Linked DNA regions of Ovis aries. The protein of the gene in region 1 interacts with the protein of each later gene in a biochemical or structural test. Links are inferred from orthologs where the notes say so. Each region holds a gene or a part of one and is shown in the gene's direction. Other genes may lie near its edges. The genes, in order: PRKN, SNCAIP and SEPTIN5.

The links.
Region 2: of the proteins of PRKN (region 1) and SNCAIP, one has a biochemical effect on the other in vitro, tested with the Homo sapiens proteins (3 studies listed by BioGRID). The link is inferred for Ovis aries from reciprocal best matches to the Homo sapiens genes PRKN and SNCAIP.
Region 3: of the proteins of PRKN (region 1) and SEPTIN5, one has a biochemical effect on the other in vitro, tested with the Homo sapiens proteins (2 studies listed by BioGRID). The link is inferred for Ovis aries from reciprocal best matches to the Homo sapiens genes PRKN and SEPTIN5.

What each region holds. Positions count from the first base shown.
Region 1 is NC_056061.1:85,933,745-85,940,271, reverse strand, and holds the start of PRKN (E3 ubiquitin-protein ligase parkin), read left to right. Parts: upstream 1-2,253; 5' UTR 2,254-2,354; coding exon 2,355-2,361; intron 2,362-6,527. Other genes in the region: PACRG (parkin coregulated gene protein), read right to left, coding at 1,614-1,769. UniProt on the Homo sapiens protein: Functions within a multiprotein E3 ubiquitin ligase complex, catalyzing the covalent attachment of ubiquitin moieties onto substrate proteins. Substrates include SYT11 and VDAC1.
Region 2 is NC_056058.1:29,242,031-29,248,557, reverse strand, and holds the start of SNCAIP (synphilin-1), read left to right. Parts: upstream 1-2,490; 5' UTR 2,491-2,831; intron 2,832-2,937; exon of another isoform or gene 2,938-2,998; intron 2,999-3,316; exon of another isoform or gene 3,317-3,459; intron 3,460-6,527. UniProt on the Homo sapiens protein: Isoform 2 inhibits the ubiquitin ligase activity of SIAH1 and inhibits proteasomal degradation of target proteins. Isoform 2 inhibits autoubiquitination and proteasomal degradation of SIAH1, and thereby increases cellular levels of SIAH.
Region 3 is NC_056070.1:72,821,828-72,828,354, forward strand, and holds the start of SEPTIN5 (septin-5), read left to right. Parts: upstream 1-2,286; 5' UTR 2,287-2,540; coding exon 2,541-2,621; exon of another isoform or gene 2,622-2,821; coding exon of another isoform or gene 2,822-2,854; intron 2,855-3,219; coding exon 3,220-3,316; intron 3,317-3,408; coding exon 3,409-3,495; intron 3,496-3,687; coding exon 3,688-3,811; intron 3,812-3,885; coding exon 3,886-4,020; intron 4,021-4,117; coding exon 4,118-4,235; intron 4,236-4,324; coding exon 4,325-4,426; intron 4,427-5,130; coding exon 5,131-5,227; intron 5,228-5,311; coding exon 5,312-5,447; intron 5,448-5,577; coding exon 5,578-5,680; intron 5,681-5,906; coding exon 5,907-5,963; 3' UTR 5,964-6,527. UniProt on the Homo sapiens protein: Filament-forming cytoskeletal GTPase. May play a role in cytokinesis. May play a role in platelet secretion.

The sequences.
Region 1 (6,527 bases):
CTAAATGAAGTGAAAGAATGACACATCCTCTTTAGAAGATCCCCGAGGAGACATTATTATCACACTAAGGGATTTTCCGTAAGTATATGGAGACAAGAAGATAATGTACCTCAAATAAGTTATTTATAATTAAGGCTGCTTCATAATCAGTTTTTTGTGTTGTTGTTTGAGTCTTGTTACATTTCACAATACTGAAATATTTGATTTTCCAGAATTATGACTTTAGGTGAAAGGCTAGGTTTCTAAAAAATAAACACGATTATACATACACTTTTTCTAAAAAAAAGAATCTGGTCAATTTTGTACATGTCTTTGAAGAAACATAACATTTTGGGAAAAATCATTAAAATTATATATACTGAGTAGAAGGAAAAAAAAGAAATAATTAGCTTGAATGTTATGGCATTCTGTGTTGCTGATAAACTAATCATCTTGGCTCCCATGATCACCTGTTTACAAGATATACTCACAAAAGGACCGCAGTTACAACAAGCAGAAAGTTTTAGTCTATTTCTGGGAATAACTATTGCAATGCAACTAACACACATTCCAATAATTAGAATTTCATTTTGTGTAGCAATGTGGAAATCTGGCCTGTGGGTCTTAAGGTGATCTATTTCATTTGCATATTTTAAGGATGTAGTTTAGGAATAATGTATTAAGTTTGCAACATTTATGTGAAACAAATAATGTGACACTGGAAAGCAATGCTATTCATTCAACATATGAGTTGCTACACAATAAATCAGACCCTCCCAGAGTGTAAATTACACAAATTTGAAAGCTGCATTTATTATTGAATATATCATTCTCAGCCAGGTGCTTAGTCAGTAGGAAAACCTGGTGTAGCACACATTTAAAGCTTTTTTTTTAAAACTGTTATGCATATACTGAAACCTGCCATGTGCAGTTTAAACTTTTCCCCCCTAATACTATTGAGAATAATGGATTTTTACTACCACAAAACAATAGAAATGAAATATGAATTGTATTAATAGTCAGAAGTATTTGCATCAAATCTTGGAAATTTTAAAATTAAAAGTTTAAAAGGTCTATTTGGAAACAGACTTCTTATTAAGTTGCTTCTCAGTACTCTAACATGCCTTTTCGTGAGAATCTTATTAGAAAAAATGCTAGGATATTCTTATAATATCTAGGTTGAATTGATAAAATTTCTTACTGTTAATGAGTTTGGGTTCCCAGCTGTACATCAGAAATGTTAAATTTTGCAAGGGAGTTCATGATTTCCAAGCCTTCTCCTTCTATTAAGGCGCTTTTCTGAGTGGGGCTAGTTTAGGAATCAATAAGTAAAGGGGATCTTTCTTTGTGTATATAGCTGAAGCATAGATTCAGGTGGTCTAGAAACCCTGAGTTATTAGGAAGGTGCTTAGAAACGAGCACAGTACATCAGTTGCCCGAGACTCCTTCTTAACATCCCAGCCTGGACCTCCACACTCTGTTGGGCACCGTCTGCCACTGGCCGAATAAATTGCCATTTTGGGCGAAGACCACCCAGGACATGGGCTCAGAATCCATCCTAGGGCCAGCCAATCTCTGCAACCTGGGGTCCCCTGACTGGGAGCGAGTGCATTCGATTCGGGAAGATCACTTACGACTGAGTTTTTCATCATGGCTTTGACTGTGAAGCCCTCAGAAACCAGGGAGTGAGGCTGGTGCACCGGGAGCGGCTGCTGTGCCAGGAGCTTGGTCTTCGTCGGCAGCTTGGCTGGGCATTTGTTTAAGCTCAGGGTCTCTTTTTCTGCCACCATCTTCCTAGAAAATGTCTTGTTCTCATACAACGTGTAGTAAAAGAGTCAGTGAGATTTATGGATGTGAGGAGGAGGTCGGGGGGAAAAAATGGAAAAAGGCGCGTTAATGGTAGAAATTCAACCCCTTCGTAGCAGTGGTCGATCCAGATGTTTGGCAGCTCCTAGGTGCTGGGAGTTGAGGGGAAGGGAGGGGCGGGAAGAGGGCAGGGCCGAGGCCAGAGCTGCCACAAGCTTCCAAAGGTAACCCTCCCGGTTGCTAAGCGACGCGTCAACACTGAGGCCGGATGGCCCCGCCTCCCGGTGACGTATACGTTTCCTGGGCCTCAGGCCGGAAGGGCGGGCGGCGGGCGGCGACTGACCCGAGGCGGTACTTAACGAGTGAAAACTACGACTCCCAGAAGGCCGCGGGCGGCACGCCGTTCGCGCGTGCGCGTTTCGAGGGCCGGGCGCCGGGAGGAGGGGGAGGGGGAGGGGCGTCCCGGACGATTTAACCCCGGAGCGCCGCTCGTGTGAGGCGCAGGCGGGCGCCCGGGTGCGAGTGGGACCCTGCTCGCCTGGCGGGCCGCGTCCGCCTGCCCAGTGGCCATGATAGGTACGTGGGTACCTGCCAGGTACAGCGTCTCTGCGCCGCCCCTCTCGGCGGGGACCCCCCCCACCCCGGGTGCCCGCTGTCAGTGGCGGGTGGCGGTGTCCGCGCTCCCCTCAGCCCGCGCCGCCGGCTCCCCGAGAAGACGTGTGTGTCTCTGTCCCAAGCCCCGCCCGCGCCCGCCTTGCCAGGCTTCTTCCCGGAGACGCCTTCGCCAGGGGGGCCCAGCGCGGGCGTCCGTGGGGAAGCCCCTCTTCCCGCCGCCCGCTCGAGCGCGGGGGTCCGTAGGGAACCCCCTCTTCCCGCGCCAACTCGGGGCGCCTTGGGGGGCTGTCTTCCCGCTGAGGACGGGGCGGGGGGACCCACACTGTCCGGGGAGCTCTTGAAGGGAAACCTTAGCGAAGCGCTAAACTCTTGATAGACCGGTGCCTGGTGATGGTGCTTGAGGTCAAAAGAAATTCCCGCAGGTGGATTTGAACTTCTTACACTCTTGGATTTTTGTCTTCTAGATAATCTCTTTGGAGGTCTGAGATGAAAGAATAATTAATAGTGAATGATAGTAAGGATTAAAACTTCCAGCATGATGAATTTACGATTCATTATGCAACAACCTTTTTTAAAATATATATATATATAAATCTTTATATATACATGTATATATATACACACACACACAGAATGACCTAGCTGCATTTTTGTGAATAAAGCTTTGGAAGTGGCTGTTAGAATTGCTTGTAATCACTGTAGTAAAGAAGACTGGAAAAGTCCCCCTTTTCCAGGATTGTTAAGCCAAAAATTAGTTTATCTCTGAAAATTAGTGGAAATATACGATGTGATTACAAAACATTGCTCCTTGGGGAGTTTATTATGACAGATTTCCTCTAGACTGTGTGTTAATTGGTTTGGTGAGGTTTTTTTTTTTGGGGGGGGCGAGTTATTCTTGACTGGGTGCCGCTTAAAGCACTTTTGATTGCCTCAGGTGCGTGTGAATGTAGTTTATCCAAGAAGATGGAAGGTGATTTTTAAAAGTAAGTTTCTACATACTGATAAACTCTTCTTACATCAGTTATTTATTAGACTAATGTTAAAATCTGAAACGTTCTATCCAACACTAGGAGGAATATGCCAGCTAACCGACACTGCAACAATGTAAAACCTGAGGATGTTGTCCAGTTTTTCCTACTTTTCTAACATGATGTGGTTTCTGATGAATGGGTTATCTAATTAAGAAAAATATATAAGGTTTTGTGAATATTTTGACCTTTTTTAGGTGACAGTTACACGAGATTCATTTTCTAACGCAAATCTAAACTGAATCAGAAAAATATGAAAATTTCCAAAATTCATGCTGTCCATATTTTACAGGGAAAAAATAGTCTACACCTTGTCTTGAAGACAGTTGTACAGATTTTATTGTAATTGAACATAATCTGATACATGGATAATTCTAAAAGAAATAAATTTACAGTAAAGCTATTTAGGGGCTTCCCCAGTGATACTAGTGGTAAAGAACCTGACTCTGTGCAGGAGATATAAGAGACGCAGGTTCTGTCCCTGGATCGGGAAGATCCCCTGGAGGAGGGCATGGAAACCCACTCCAGTATTCATGCCTGGAGAATCCCATGGACAAAGAAGCCTGGTGGGCTACAGGCCATATGGTCGCAAAGAGTTGGATATGACTGAAGCAACCTAGCACGCTCACACGCAAAGCTATGTAAAGGCAAGAATTTAAGATCTAAAAGTCATCAGTTAATTCTGAATTATTCTCTAAGATGATTATATAAATAATGTTGTTAGAATGAACTATGTTTAGGTGGTTTAGTTTGGGATTTAGGGACACAGGAAGGAAGAGTATTATCTTTAGATCTGATGATTAGACATTTCTTAATCACTGGTAGTGCCATGGAGAATATAAGGTGGTATTTTAAAAGTGTTGTTTCTCATACTCCAGCTATTGTTTTACACGCTGCAAATAAGTATAACATAAATAATTAAATCCATGTACTCTCCTGAGAAAAATACTTCACATGTTAAAGCCATGTGGATAATATACAATAAATTATTCTGTACAGCTACTCAACTAGTTGCATTGCCTAATTCTGTCAGTGGGTATATTGTAATAAAAATCTTAATTGCCAATTTTGGGCTTGGTTATGTTGAATAATGCCAAAGGTAAGTGAAAGTGGGAGCAATTGAAGGAAGGTCTTGGAGTGATGAGTTTCCCATTTCTGATAAAACTTTGGAGCCAGGAAAGGCATTATAGTCTATATCCAGTGATATACGGAAGATTAAACATATTCACTAATATATATATGGGGATGATTTTATTTTTTGTTTACCGACATGTGTGCTACTCAGGTGGCGCCAGTGGTAAGCAACCTGCCTGCCAGTGCGGGAGACATGAGAGATGCGGGTTCCATCCCCGGGTCAGGAAGAATCCCTGGAGGAGGAAATGGGGGTCCGTGGGGGACCCCCACAGCAATTGATTTCCTCACTACCAATAAAATTATCTTCCTTTACCTTCTCAAAACTCACGATTCTTTCTTGTCACAGAGACTGTTTCAAAAGTACTACATGTCCCAGTTAGATTAATATGTTAAATGCCCTGACTCAGCTACAGAAACAACTTAAGTAGGTGAAAAATTATTATTTTTTGAGAAATATGGAGAGGACTGTAAATAAACCAGAATAAAAAGCTTAAGAAAATTCAACTAAGAAAAAAATATAAATTTTGGCATTTCTCTTAAAATTATATTTCACCCTTTTAAAATTAACAGTGTTTGTGTTTAAAACTGAGTTTTAATAGTGACATTTGTGGTATCCTATATGTATGTTGCATTGAACTAAATTTAGGTATTTCAGTAGGATCAGATGTCCTCATGTACACCCAGTAGAGGAGTGTGTGCCTGCTAAGTCACATCAGTCCTATCTGACTCTTTGCGACCCCATGGACTGTAGCCCTCCAGGCTCCTCTGTCCATGGGATTCTCCAGGCAGGAATACTGGAGTGGATTGCCCTGCTGTCCTCCAGGGGATCTTCCTGACCCAGGTCTCCTGTGGATCCTGCACTGCAGGTGGATTCTTTACCACTGAGCCGCCAGGGAAGCCCTGAAGTACATGGAAATACATATATATAATTATGTTGCCAATATTGAAATTCAAACTCAATGTCTTAAAAATGATTTTTAGTGATCTAAAAAAAATAATAATTAGAACAATCTTTTTTGTACTTTGTTTAACTTGACAGCTCTTAGAAAACTTATGAATCTGTGTGTGCAGATGGACCCTACAGTTACTCCTGTCTAGTATTTAATGGATATACATAAATTATGTAGATAGTCTCCAATAAATGAGCATACGGTAGGTTTTCAGATAGTTGCTATCATTAGGAGTGTTTGTGTCCATATGACTTTATTTGCTTATGTAAGCTCATATGTAAAGTAAAAAGATTACAAGCTCTGAGTGGATTTTCTAGTTAAAAGGTTTGTAGAGGGACTTCCCTGGTGGCCCAGTGGCTAAGACTCTGCATTCCTAGTGCAGGGGGCCTGGGTTCCATCCCTGGTCAAGGAGCTAAATCTCACATGCGGCGTGCCTCAGTGAAGACCAAGGATCCCACGTGCCCCACTGAAACCCAGAACAGCCAAATAAATAAATACATATTTTAAAAAGAAAGATTCATAGATTTTGAATTTTGCTAGGTATTTCCAAATTGTTTAAAAGAAATCACCATGTTTTACACTTCTGTCCACCATAGCAAGGCAGCAAAGAGCTATCCTACTCGTGTGAGCTGAAGAAATTACAAAAAGACATCCTCCCCAGAACTGACCCAGCCTTCCACAGCAAAGCACCTGCTGGGTTTGCCCTCTCCTGCCCCGTCCCCACCCTAAACTTACTGCCTTTAAACAGTGCTGGAAGCTCACAACTGTCCGTGTGTCCCTGCCCCCACCAACAGCATTTGTGCGTGTCCACGTTCCCCCCGTGGAGCGTAAAATATTTTTGCCTTTCTGATAGATGAGAAACAATATATTTTAATTTTTCAAATGAATTTAAGAAGAAAACCCCTTCACTTCTCACTTTATCGTGCTTTATTTCCATGAAAGCAGATTCAGTAATTGAGTATCTACTGTGTGCCCAGTACTGTTCTGGGTGCCAGGGATACATGAAGTGAAGTTG
Region 2 (6,527 bases), on another chromosome or scaffold:
TCCTGCGACTCCTGCATTGCCGCTGGACTCTTTCCCCACTAAGCCACCTGGAAAGCCCAAAAGCACGGGCCCAACTGAATTATAGGTTCCAACCAGAAATCAGAAAGGACCACAAACAGGGCTTTCTTCAGTGATTCACACTCTGCAATGAGAAATAAAAATCAGAGCCTTTAATGCAGAGGTGGATGTCTTATTAAGCAAATCAACACTTAAAGAATGGGAAAAAGAAAAGAAAAAAGAACAGTTTCTATTTGATCGTTGGCAGTGTTGTAGCAGGTTTATTCAATTTTTGTAGCACAATAAAGATATATTATGGAAACTGGGTAAAAAGAAAGAGGCAGCTGTTTAATTGTAATAATTGAATGAATAATTACATGGCAGCTCTTTGGCAGATGATTTACAGTGAAATGAATTTCTGTACTAATTATTTTCAGTAGCTAACTCTTGAATATAAAAATCTGCTCAGTGATGAAGATCCAAATATGAGTAATATGAACTCCCTGGCATGAATGGAAACTGACAACTGAATAGTAGGGGAGAAGAAATGGACGTGAAGCAGAAATAAGTGTTCTAAGAGTTGCACACTCCAAGCTGTGCAGGCCTGGGAGTTCTAAAAAGGGGTAAATGATCTAGTAGCTATGGCTGCTAAGCCATTCCATAGTTAGTACTAGCCTGTAGAGGCAGCTGCTTGAATAGAAAACTGAGTGTCAGAGAGTAGTTGGTAGTAAGAAGCCACTGAAGGAGTGGGCAGAGCAACTTATTAACTTAATAAAAAGTCAGCATTATTTTGAGAAAGCCAGCTTACTTGCCATCCAATCTAAAATCTAGCAGCTCTGTTTCAACTCCAGTTACTTCACTACTTCTGCACTTTGGTGTATCAGTTTGTGGTTTAGGATTTGGCAAGACTGTGCACAGGAGAAGCAAGCCAACAAATGGTCCAAGTGAAAGCAAACTCATTGCCTGTGTGTATAAGCATAGGTTTAAGGCACAGTGTAAAAATAATCACAGGGAAACAATGGTAAATATGCAATCAAATACATGTTAGAATGAACCATAACAAAAGAAGTTTAAAAAAAATGGGAAAATTTCTGAAACAATATCTCAAGACTGCTTTTTTAGACTATAGCATGCTCTTCCTTCGCTACACAAAACCGATATTTTCTCTCCTCAGCAATGTTTTCTGTCCATGTAACAGGATCATAGCCATTCTTTGTTGAACCGTTTACACTGAGGTAACACTGGTCTACTTACTGTTAGATGTTTAAGGCAGTTGGAAGGAGATAGCCATGTATAACTTCAAAAAATTACTCCTTCAATGTTAAAATTTGATTTTTCAAAAGCAGGCTGTCAAAATATTTAAGAGGATGGCAATAAAAGTGTGTTGTGTATAGAACATATCAAGGGTGACACCAACTCCATCCATATCTACTGGATGGAAGCAAGATGTGCTTTTCTGAGAGTTTATAGTAGGCAAAAAAAAAAAAAAAGGCATTTTTATTTTAACCAGATGTGAAAGAATTAAACCCAATATTTTCAAGTATTTTTTAGTGCCATATGATGTCATCTGATTTTACATTTTCTGAGGGATAGTGGGTATTTTCAAATTGTGAAGCCACTTTCCGTGTATGTACTTAAAGTCTTATATATGATGAATTACAGTAAACAAATTACCACACCGGCAGAACATACTTTCGGCTGTTTATGTAAGACAGCAGAGAGAGAAATTTAGTTTCTCAATTGGAAATGGAATCAAAAGCATGTGAAATGTCTTCTGCTGGCCTTCAAGGCAGTCCTTATTTCAGAGACTATGTACTCCTCATCCAAAGAGGTCCAGGGCAGGGAGGGCTGGGTGTGTCCTCGGATAGTACAGGGGCCTCTTCCCTGCAGCGCCAACACAGCAGCCCCCGGACCTCGCAGGGACTACACTAGTCATCCAGGCAACCACAGTTTTTAAACAACCATGCCCTTCCTTTTTTACTGGTAATATGTTTTCAGTGACAGCCTTACACATGCTATACATCCCACTGCCACTAACCCAGATGGGGTCAAATTTCCCAGGATCGCTGCGCCACTCTTGTCCTCCGGAGTTGGCAAGGGAACCAGGCGGCCCCTAAGCAGACAGACGAGAGAACTTGCTTCCTCACACTTTGCTCTGGAGCAGCATCAGACAAGCGGCCACACCCAGGAGCAGGACAGTGGCCCTCAAAGGCTTTGCTGAGTGAGCTTCTCTGAGCCATTTCTGCCGGGGTGGGGAAAGAGCCTTCTTAAAAACCATTTAAAGCTTTCCAAAGGGCAAGAGCGAGACGATCGTGAGCCAAGGTTAGCATCAATGGTTCCACTCCTCCAGACTTCACTTCGGAAATAAGGAAGGAAAGAGTCAGTCACCAGTGCTGACTGACGGATGCCTCGTCCAGCAGCTCCCCGCCCCCTCCCAATCAAGACAGAGCTGCTTAAAGTTCATATTACTAAAGGGCCGTCGGTGTATTAAACGTTGCTGAATTAGAAACACCATCAGTTCAGACCAAAGTCTCCTCCATCCACCACCCATACTCGAGCACGGAACCTTCCGGGCAAAGACCCCTCAGCCTGCCTTCCTTGGCGAAGTCCTCGAGGGTGGGCGAGACCGGGTTGGGGGCGGGCGGGGAGGATTGGGGTTTAGGACTGTGCCAACGCAAAGATCCTCTGCCAAGGGGCTCCTGAAGCAGGGCCGTTTCCCAGGACCGTGCCCATGTTCCGTCGCCCCCTGCCCGAGTGTCTCTGCCCGGCCGAGGCTGGAACCCTGGAATGGGTTGGGGACCAATGAGATGGCAGCGGTTGACGCAGGGATCACGGTGAGGGGCGATTTCATCTCCCGGGGGTGGGGGGAGAGGCCGCCCAGCGCGGGTGGGGGGCGGAGGCGAAAGGGGGTAAAAAGTGCGAGGGGAGGAGATCGGAGACAGCCAGTTGAGCAGCAGAGACACAGAGGTGCGAGGGCCAAAGGTACAGGAGAAAAGAGCAGGTTCGCGGGCGCGGAGGCTGCGCGGCCGGGGCTGGGGGCCGCCGCGCGGCGGGCGCCGCGGGGCGGGCGGGGGAGGGTCGCCGTCAGTCAGGCCGCGCGGGGCTCGCGGGCCGGGGGGCGGGCGCCGGGCGCGCGGCGGCGGCGGGAGGGCGCGGCGGCCGCGGCCGTGCAGACCGCGCCCCCGCCCGGCGGTGCGCCGCGCTCGGCGCCCCGCGTCCCTCCGCGCCAGGTCCGCGCCCGCCGCCCCGGGGCTGCCCTCCTCCCGCTGCCGCGCGCCCGCTGGGGGGCCCGGGGGGGAGCGGCGCCGGAGGCCCGGCCGCATTGTGACGTAGCGGGGCCGCGGCAGCGCGGCCGCCGCCCGCCGGCTCCCGCGGTTCCTGCTCCCGCCGCCGCCGTCCATCTGTCCGTCGGTCCGTCCGTCCGTCCGCATTTTTGAGCAGCCGCAGCGCCGGGCGCCCGGGGTGAGTCCAGGTCCCGGGGTGGGCGCCGCGGGGAGACGGGGGTGGGGCGCGACGGCGCGAGCGACTGAGCCTTTCCAAGTTTGCACCGGGCGACCCGGGCGGGGGTGCCCCCCGCCCCGCCGTGAGCCCCGGGGGGGCCCCTTTGTGCGGCGAATCCCGGCGGCTCGAGTGGCGGCGGTGCCTCTGCAGAAAGGGTTTGGGGGGAGGTCTCTATAGTAACGTTGGCGGCGCCTGCCAAGCGGCTTCTCTTCTTCTTGAGGGAGGGGGGAGGAGCCCCCACCTCAGGTTCCAAAGGATTGCTCTTTTCCTTTGCCGGTTTCGTGTGGTTATTCTTCTTCCTGCCACCTGGGATGGTGTGGGAGGCAGGGATGGGCAGTGCCGAGGCTCCTAAGAACTGAGGTAACCAGGGACGAAGTAATAGTCACAGAAACAGTACCGACAATAATAGTAATCGCGAAAGAGGGACGCCTGGGGTTGCCGCGCGGCCCAAGGGGAGCCCCTCGCTCTTGGGCACCGCCGCCCGCTGGCTGCCCGGTTCTCTAGGGCACCACCCTCGGGCGCTGTCCTGTGTTCCCCGCTCGTCCGGGTCAATTGTAGCCAGGAGTGTTTCTCTCCTGGCCTCCTTTCGCGGTGATGTCTCTCATCTGCAGGTGGTAAGCGAGGTGACTGGTAATTTGGCTATTGTCAAATGCCACGTTTTGTTTATTTCATTTTTACGAAAGGAAAAGAGGGAAAATTATGAGCCATTACTGGCAGCCATACAGTTTCCACAGGAAATACTAGCATTCTTTGAGGAACACGCTACTGCTTGCGGGGAAGAAAGTCTTTAGGAAACAAAAAGGCAACAGCATTGTTGCTCATTTTCAATGGACCGCTAGGAGAGGGGAAACGTGGTGTTTTTTCCTGTGGGAACAGGCTTGCCTTGGGAAAGTTAATTAAGGAAGCTTACTGTCGGTGGCCCGTTTTTCACTTGCTGGTGGCTGGACCCCTCTCCTCCTGGCTATTACCGACAACTGTCCATCAAAGAGCCGCCAGGAAGGGAGAACCACTGCAGGACAGTCTCACCACACACCATGTGCTGTGGAGCCCAGCCAGGGTGCAGTGTGCAGAATGAAATAAGGGCTGTCTGGGGAGGTTTATGAGGATTGCATGTGTGCAGAGGGTGTCAGTTCTCCAAGGTGTCACTCTAAACACATCATTTTCAAGCATGGCTTTCCCTGCTGAATCTGCAGAAAGGCAAAAACCTATTTCTCTTATTATGGAGCAGACGTCCCAGTTGGGAATGGGTTGAAATCTGTATTTCCTTTGTATATATTGAAATTTTCAAAGACAGAGAGGATAAGGTTTAGGAAAGCAGTATGCTAATGGGTTCACATCTAGAGAATGTCTGTTGGGTACTTCTGATGCATCTCAATGTTAAATTACGTTCAGCCTGGCTGGAGTCTAGGGAGACACCCTTCAGGTGTCCTTTATTTGAAAAAGTGTGACATTTTGTTCCCATTGCAGAAGTCTCTCTGGAAGGCAGTATTAACTGAAGATTACCCAAATATGTAGGAGTTTCAAGTCTAGACACAGAAAGAAGATGGTGCTTCTCTTAAGGATCTTTGGACATCTCAGTTAGAAATAAAATATAAAAAAATAAATAATACAGCTTTGAACATAAACTTCATTTTGTCTAGAGCAAGCATTTCATGAGGAAAGGTTACAATATGGTAGATTTGAAATGATGCTGCAGTTATTGATTTGACATTTGCTACTGTGTATGGATGTCCAAAAGGAAGGGGCTAAGGCAAATGAGTTTCTCTGCCTACTGTGTCATAGCTCTGCCACTTTCCACTAGTTGGTCTTGTGCAGGTGTACAGTGGAAATTCAGGACAGAGGCCAAGAAACTTTCTGTGCACTGTTGTCTTGGAGGGAATTGCAGCAGTATTTTACTGCTCTTAAGAGGAGGAAAACCCACATAAACATCTAATACAAACAAATGATCTTTGATATTATCAGAGAAAGCCTAGAGTCATTTTTCTTGCCAGATTGAAGGCATTTCTTGTCAAAAGAGGAAATCTCCCAAGGAGCAGGTGCATCATTATAAGAAACACCAGGGAATTTTTTCTTTTAAATGCAAAATCTAATTGAATAGCAACAAGAGAATCAAGTGACACTCTTAGAATAGAAAGTTTGTTTTTTGGCAGTCTGTCAGATTAGGGTTGCAAACCACATAGGAGGAATAGGTGTCTTGGGAGAAAAATAATTTCCTGGTGAAAATCAAACATTTGCTTCTGTGGAACTTGTACCTTTACATGCTTGTTTCCTTGTGCCCCTTAGATTGGTGTGCAGATTCTACTTGCAAGAATTTATTTTCTGGAAATGATTCAATAAAGTGGTTACTAATATGTATACTATGCATGATTTCATGCCTGTAGATAACAGGATTTTATATTTTATAATTTATATATCTTATCACTCCTTTTTAAGCTTTTAAAATTGATCAAAATATGTGTTGAAATGATTAATTTTTTGATTTTTAATTGATATGATTGACAGCTGGGTCCTGGAAAAGTGCTGATTGACTAATATTTTATGATTAATTGCACAAGACAGTGAGCAGTAATTGAAAAGGAATTCCCATGAGAAAGTAACCAAGTCAGCTTAGATGTTTTTCCGGTTATCCATTGCTGTGTAACAAATCATCCCCAAATCATTGCTTAAAATGACTGTATTGCTTGCAATTGTGTGGTTGGTAGTTCAAGCCGGGTTCAGTGAGGTGGTTCTGCTGCTGCTCTTGGCTGAGTTCCTCTGATATCTTCAGTCACCTGGTAGTTTGGATGATTAGGATGGTCTCATTTATGTCTGATAGTTATTAGGTCAGGTTAACAGGTAACTGTGGCATGCCTCCCATTCTCCAGCTGACTAGCCTGGGCTTCTTTATGTGACAGACAAGCAGTATTCCAAGAGCAGCAAAAGAACAAACCCCAGTTTAAGGTGATTTTTAAGCCTCTGCTTGCATTATATTTGCTATATCTTCCCCTCAGCCAAATCAAATCACAGGGTCTCCCCAGATTCAAGAGGGT
Region 3 (6,527 bases), on another chromosome or scaffold:
GCCCCGTGGAGGGGGGCGTATCGGGGGAGCTTGGGGCCCTGGGGCAGCCCCACTGGCTGAGGTCTCTCTGCTCGAGCGCAGCTGTGTTTAGGGCAGAACAGGAAGGCTGACTTGGGCACCAGGGTGGCCTTGGCGCCCTTGTCAGGGATGGGGGTTCACACCCTGGGTGGAGCCCCACAGTATTGGCCCAGGTGTGGCAGGTGGGCGGAGCGGCCTGGCAGGTGGAGCTGGCGCTGGGAGTTGCCGACTGCGCCCTGGGCCGGGGGAGGCTCGTGGGGAGGGGCCTCTCATCTTCACCCTGCCAGCAAGGGGCTCCCTGGGGAGCCAGGGCCAGGAGCTGCCTGCCCATGCTGCGGGTCAAACAATGCAGGAGGCACAGGGCCAGCCCGCCAGCCTGCCATTGTTCAGGGAGAGACGGGGCAAGCCCCGGGAGACCGGCCCCCTACTCCGGGGCCTGCGGGCACTTGGGGTTCCCTGCTGGGACTCCAGCCCCTCTGGGCTGGTGTCTGCCCCACCTGGAGCTCAGCTAGGACCGGCCTCACCCATGCCTGCCCCCGGGGCCTGAGGCAGAGGGCGTGATGTGGGTGGCATGTAGGGTCCCCCCGGGATTGGGGCCAGGAGCCAGGCTTTTGGGGCAGGGTCCCCGTGGGTCTTCACTGTTCCATTGTTGGCGTTCTGAGCCTCAGCCTGTCGCCCCTCCAGGAAAGAGGGGGACTCGATGGACCCCTCCGTGCCCACCATCTGAGGCACGGGGTGGGGGCTCTGGTGGTCCCCTGTACCCTCCCCCACCGCAACCCCTTTCAGCGAAAGTGGTGGTTCCCCTGGCTCTGGCTCCCGTCCCCAGAGCCGATGGGGAGATTCTAAGAATGAAAACGCCTTGAGAGTGTCAGGCACCAGGCGGTGGGGAGGAGGTGGGCGCGGCACTGAGTCCTCGGGAGTGTCTGTTGTGCCTCGAGGACCAGACAAAGCGGGCGGCAGGGCCCTCTCCTTGGGGACCCCCAGGGAATCCCCAGCCCTGCGCGGGTGAGGTGGGGTGCGGGCCAGGCTGGCAGGGGCTGGGCTTGTCCCGTCCCGGGCCTCCCGAGGCTGTTCCTTACCAGTGGGCAAACCAAGGCCGTCTGGGCAGTGCACTCTTCAGGCCCCAGGGTGTGGAGAGATGAGGCCAGGCCTGGCTCTGTCCTCGGAGGTGCCCCGGGCCCGAGAGGTTAGCTTGTCCACCCGGCAGGAACTGGGCCTAGGAGCCGTGTCTAAGGTGGCGCCCGGGGTTGGAGGCTGGGGGATACTCATGCTGGAGACCCCCCACAGGTGCACGTGGCGGGTGATTTCTCGGAGCCAGGGCACGGGGCCGGGCTGTGGCCTGTGGCCCCCCCCGCCGCCGTCCTCTTGGATGAAAGGCGCCCCTGTTCCCAGCAGTGGACCCACCCCTCCTCCGCAGGTGCCAGCAGCCTCCAGGCCCCATGGCAGCAGCTCCAGCCTGGACTGGGGGACAGAGGCCCCTTAAGCAGGGAGCCAGGAAGGGAGGGCGGGTGAGGGTGTGGGGGCCTCCTGCCCCTACTGACAAGAGTTCAGAGGCATCCACCTCTTTGGAGGCCCAGCTCCTTCCCGTTGGTCTGGCCTGTTCAGATTCTGGTGGGGGGCCTGCGGGGTGGGGGCGACGCTGGGTTTGTCGGCTCAGGAGACCCCCGTGGTCCCTGGCATCGCGGCACAGGCAAGAGGGTGGAGCTGGCTGGAGCCCCCCAGGCTCCCTATTGCCCAATCCTGGGGGTGAGGGCAGGGTGGAAGCTCAGAGTGCCCCCCCCCCGGGGAAGGGGTCCGCTCCATCAGCCCCCCTCGGCTGGCAGCAGCTTTCTGGCCAGCAGGGCTGGCCGGCGGGTTTGGGGGGGCCACAGCTTCCGCGTTTGCAGAGGAGATGGGGGCCGGGCATCTAGGGCTGTGACTGTCCCTCCGGCCCGACGCGGGCCTGGGTGGGGAGCCGGGCTCTACCCTCGCAGGTTCCCGGCTGGTCTCAGGGGCCGCGGCGGTAAGCATTCTCCGGACACGCGCGGGGGCCAGGGCGCGCAGGGAGGGCTGCGTCTGTGGGGAGTTTCGGGGGGCCGGGCGGGAGCGCGCGGATGGGGCTCCCTCTGGCGGCGGGCGCGGCGGCGCGGACCCGCCGTGGACCGGCCCCCGCCGTGCAGTCGCGGGGCTGACGGCCCGAGCCGCGCCGCTCCGCGCGCAGCCGCCCGCCCGCCCCGCCGAGCTGGGCCCTGCCCTCCTCCGCTCCGGTGGCTCCGCCCGCGCGGCCTCATTTCCAGGCGACCGTCTCCCGGAGACCGCGCGCTCCCGTCCGGCGTAGGGACCCGCTTGTGCCCGGGGCTGGCCGTCTGGGGCCGGACCCGCGGCTCGAGGGGGGCCTCGGGGTCGCGCATCGCCTGAGCGCCGCCCCGCCCCGGGCCCCGGTGCCCGCGTCCGTGCGCCCCCCGGGGCGAGAGCACGCCTGGCGGCGGGCTGGCCTGACCCTCTGGGCCCCAGCGCGGCCGCACGGCCCCAGGCTGGCGGGGATGGACTCGCTGGCAGCGCCCCAAGACCGCCTGGTGGAGCCGCTGCTGTCGCCGCGGACCCAGGCCCAGAGGCGGCTCAAGGTGTGTGTGGATTGGGGCGCGGAAAGTGGGTCAGCGTGCGCCCACCCCGGTGCCCGGACTGGGGATATGACAGGGGCTGCAGGGCCCTGGGGTCCTGGGGTGGGCGCCGGGCCTTGGGGAGGCCAGGGGCTGCTGTCTATAAATAGCCCCAGCTCCACCGTTGCTGCAGCCAGCCACCCCCGCGGCTGGATCGGGGCCAGATGGGGCCTCCCACCCCCTACTTTCGCAGAGGGGTGAGTATTCAGGTGGGGGCTTCTCCAGCTTCGGAGGGCCTTGGGCATGTCTGAGGGGTCCGGGTCCTGGTGCCCTCTGCCCCCCACCCAAGGACACCGGCCTCACTGGGTGTGCCTGTTGCCCCCGCTCCGGGCACAGATCCATCTCTGTGAAGCCCTTGAGGGCACCACTACCCTTCACGCCCACCCGCCTCCCACCTCAGGGGGGTCCTTTGCCCACAGACCCTCACCCGCTGCTGCTACTGAGATGCCCCTTCCCCGGGGGACCCTGCCCTGCTGCCTCCCTGGCCTGAGCGGGGTAGGGGCAGGGCCCGGGGCTGCCCAGGGAACCGGGGCGTGTCCCTGACCTGCCCCGCCCCCGCCAGGACGTCGACAAGCAGTACGTGGGCTTTGCCACACTGCCCAACCAGGTGCACCGCAAGTCTGTGAAGAAGGGCTTCGACTTCACGCTCATGGTGGCCGGTGAGTGGGCCGGGCCCCAGGTCGGGCAGGGGCACGGGCAGCCATGCTGTCTGGAGCCTGGGACCTGACCTCCCCACTGCATCTGTGGGCAGGGGAGTCGGGCCTGGGGAAGTCCACGTTGGTCCACAGCCTCTTCCTGACGGACCTCTACAAGGAGCGGAAGCTGCTGAGTGCCGAGGGTGAGTGGGCCCCACAGCCCTGCTGGATGACTCTCTCAAGGGCTCCTTCCAGGTCCAGCCCCGATCCTCTGTCCCCGAAGCGTGGGTCCAGACCACCGCCAGGCCACGTAACCTGGGAGCGTCTGGGGTGCCCGGGGGTAGGAGTCGGGGCCGCAGAGGCCACTCTAAACCACCCCCCGGCCCCCGCCCCAGAGCGCATCAGCCAGACGGTTGAGATCCTGAAGCACACGGTGGACATCGAAGAAAAGGGGGTGAAGCTGAAGCTCACCATCGTGGACACGCCGGGCTTCGGGGACGCCGTCAACAACTCTGAGTGGTGAGGAAGGCTTGCCCGGGCGGCCCCAGCCCCCGGCCCCCAGCCCGGCCGGCCTCACGCGTGCCCACCCCCAGCTGGAAGCCCGTCACTGACTACGTGGACCAGCAGTTCGAGCAGTACTTCCGGGACGAGAGCGGCCTCAACCGCAAGAACATCCAGGACAACCGTGTGCACTGCTGCCTCTACTTCATCTCCCCCTTCGGGCACGGGTAGGTGGCCGCCCCGGCCAGGCGGCCCGCCCGTGCCTCGGGCACCCCCCCCCCGCCACCCCCGCCCCGCGAGCCCCTCACCCCGGCCCCCCCACAGGCTGCGGCCGGTGGACGTGGGCTTCATGAAGGCGCTGCACGAGAAGGTGAACATCGTGCCCCTCATCGCCAAGGCCGACTGTCTTGTCCCAGGGGAGATCCGGAAGCTGAAAGAGCGGGTGAGCCTGCGGGGGTGGGGGTCTCCGCAGGGCTCAAGGGGGGGACTGAGGCCGCCGGCCCCTCCCCTGACAGCCCTGGCTGGCTGCAGATCCGGGAAGAGATCGACAAGTTTGGGATCCACGTGTACCAGTTTCCTGAGTGCGACTCGGACGAGGATGAGGACTTCAAGCAGCAGGACAGGGAGCTGAAGGTGAGCCTGCATCGCGTGGGGGGACCCCAGAGGCCACTGTACAGCGGGTCTAGAAGAGTGCTGGGGCCCTGGTCTGACCTGGGGCGGGGGTCGGGGCGGGGGGGACGTGAGACTTTCATCCAGGCTGTAGAGTCTTAGCTGGGGATGGCTCAGGTCCCTGCTGGCCAGTGTGGCTTGGGCCCTGTGTGGTTCTTGGGTCATGGAGTGCTTGCCAGGATACAAGGGCATAGTCACTGGCCAGGCCCCACCCTGGCCCTGCACTCAGCCCCCTTCTCATACCCCGGGAATGTGCATGCCCCAACTCACAGAGTCCTGAGCTCTGGGGGCAGGAGGTGGCTTTGAGTGGTGATGGAGAAGCCAAGCTGGGGACAAGTGGCCACTAGGCCAGGACCAGGGCAGGCCCTTCACCCCAAAGTCAGCAGGGGTATCACTAACAGCACAGGCTCCGCTCTGGGGAAGGAGGGGGAGGGGTACTAGGCAGGGAGGCTACATCTGATTGGGCACAGCCTGGCAAAAGCCCTCCATGTAAGCGGCACCAGCTCTGGCTTCAGCTGGCAACAGAGAGGCCCAAGGTGGGGATAACAGGTTCTTTTTGGGGAGAGTCTATTGTTGGGGACATGGAGGCGTACCCATGCCCCTCTTGGACCGCGGACCTCACACCCATGCTAACTGGGCTGAGCCCTTGCATCTGCCCCCCCGGCCAGGAGAGCGCACCCTTCGCTGTTATCGGCAGCAACACGGTGGTGGAGGCCAAGGGACAGCGGGTCCGGGGGCGTCTGTACCCCTGGGGGATCGTGGAGGGTGAGTCCAGGCCTGGGGCACAGCCTTTGGGGGGGAAGGCTCCCCTGGACCGGTGGCCCACTCACCGGCCGCCCCCGCCCGCAGTGGAGAACCAGGCGCACTGCGACTTCGTGAAGCTTCGCAACATGCTAATCCGCACGCACATGCACGACCTCAAGGACGTGACCTGCGACGTGCACTACGAGAACTACCGCGCGCAGTGCATCCAGCAGATGACCAGGTGCGCGCCCCCGCCCCGCCCCGCCCCGCCCCGCCCCCGCCCCGCCCAGAGGTGCGAGAGCCGCAGGGCCGGCTGGTGTCGAGGGTCAGCCCGGCCTCCAGCAGCCTCGTCCCCGGTGTCCACCCTGCAGCAAGCTGACGCAGGACAGCCGCATGGAGAGCCCCATACCCATCCTGCCACTGCCCACGCCTGACGCCGAGACTGAAAAGCTCATCAGAATGAAAGATGAGGAGGTGGGCGGAGAGCAGGGGCGGAGCCAGTGTGGGTGGGCGGGGAGAGGGGAGGAGCGAGGCTGGGTGGGTGGGGCCAGGGTGGTGGGCGGGGAGAGGGGAGGAGCGAGGCTGGGTGGGTGGGGCCAGGCTGGTGGGCGGGGAGTGGAGGCGGAGCCAGGCTGGGCGCAGGGCAGGCCCCGCCCACCGCTCGCTCACACCGCCCCCGCCGCTCCTGCCCCGCCCCCAGCTAAGGCGGATGCAAGAAATGCTGCAGAAGATGAAGCTGCAGATGCAGGACCAGTGACGCCGCAGCGCACGCGCCATACCTGTGCTGCCGGCTTCCGGGCTGGCCTGTCGCACCCCTGGACCCCGACGGGCCTGGACTCGACGCCGGGTTCGTCTGGGTCGCCCATAGGCCCGGACGCGACCCCCCACCCCGGAGTGGCCCAGACCTGGTTTTTTTCCCTCTTGTTCTCAGAGACGCTGGGTCACAGCCCCCAGCCAGCCCTAATTTATTGTCAGCGTCGGCCCCTCCCCTCGTTTGTATCTGCTTGCCAGCGGCCTGGACGGTGGCACCCCCACATCCAGTCGTCTTTGGTTGGGTGGTGACTTCTGAGATCTGCCCCCAACCGGAAGGTCACTGAACTGGCTCCAGGCCCTATTTACACGGGCGGGAGAACCAAGGCAGCGTGGGGGTGGGGGGCCGATCCCCGGGACCCTGGCCTGTTTCCCTACTCCGAGCCTCCCTTTGGGCCCCCGTGGGCCAGGGCCTTCTTACCCCTTCCGCCACTCACCAGACACCTCTGCGCACAGGTTGGGAGCGGAAGTGATTAGGCTCCCTCCCGATCTAAGGAGGTCAGCTGGCGGC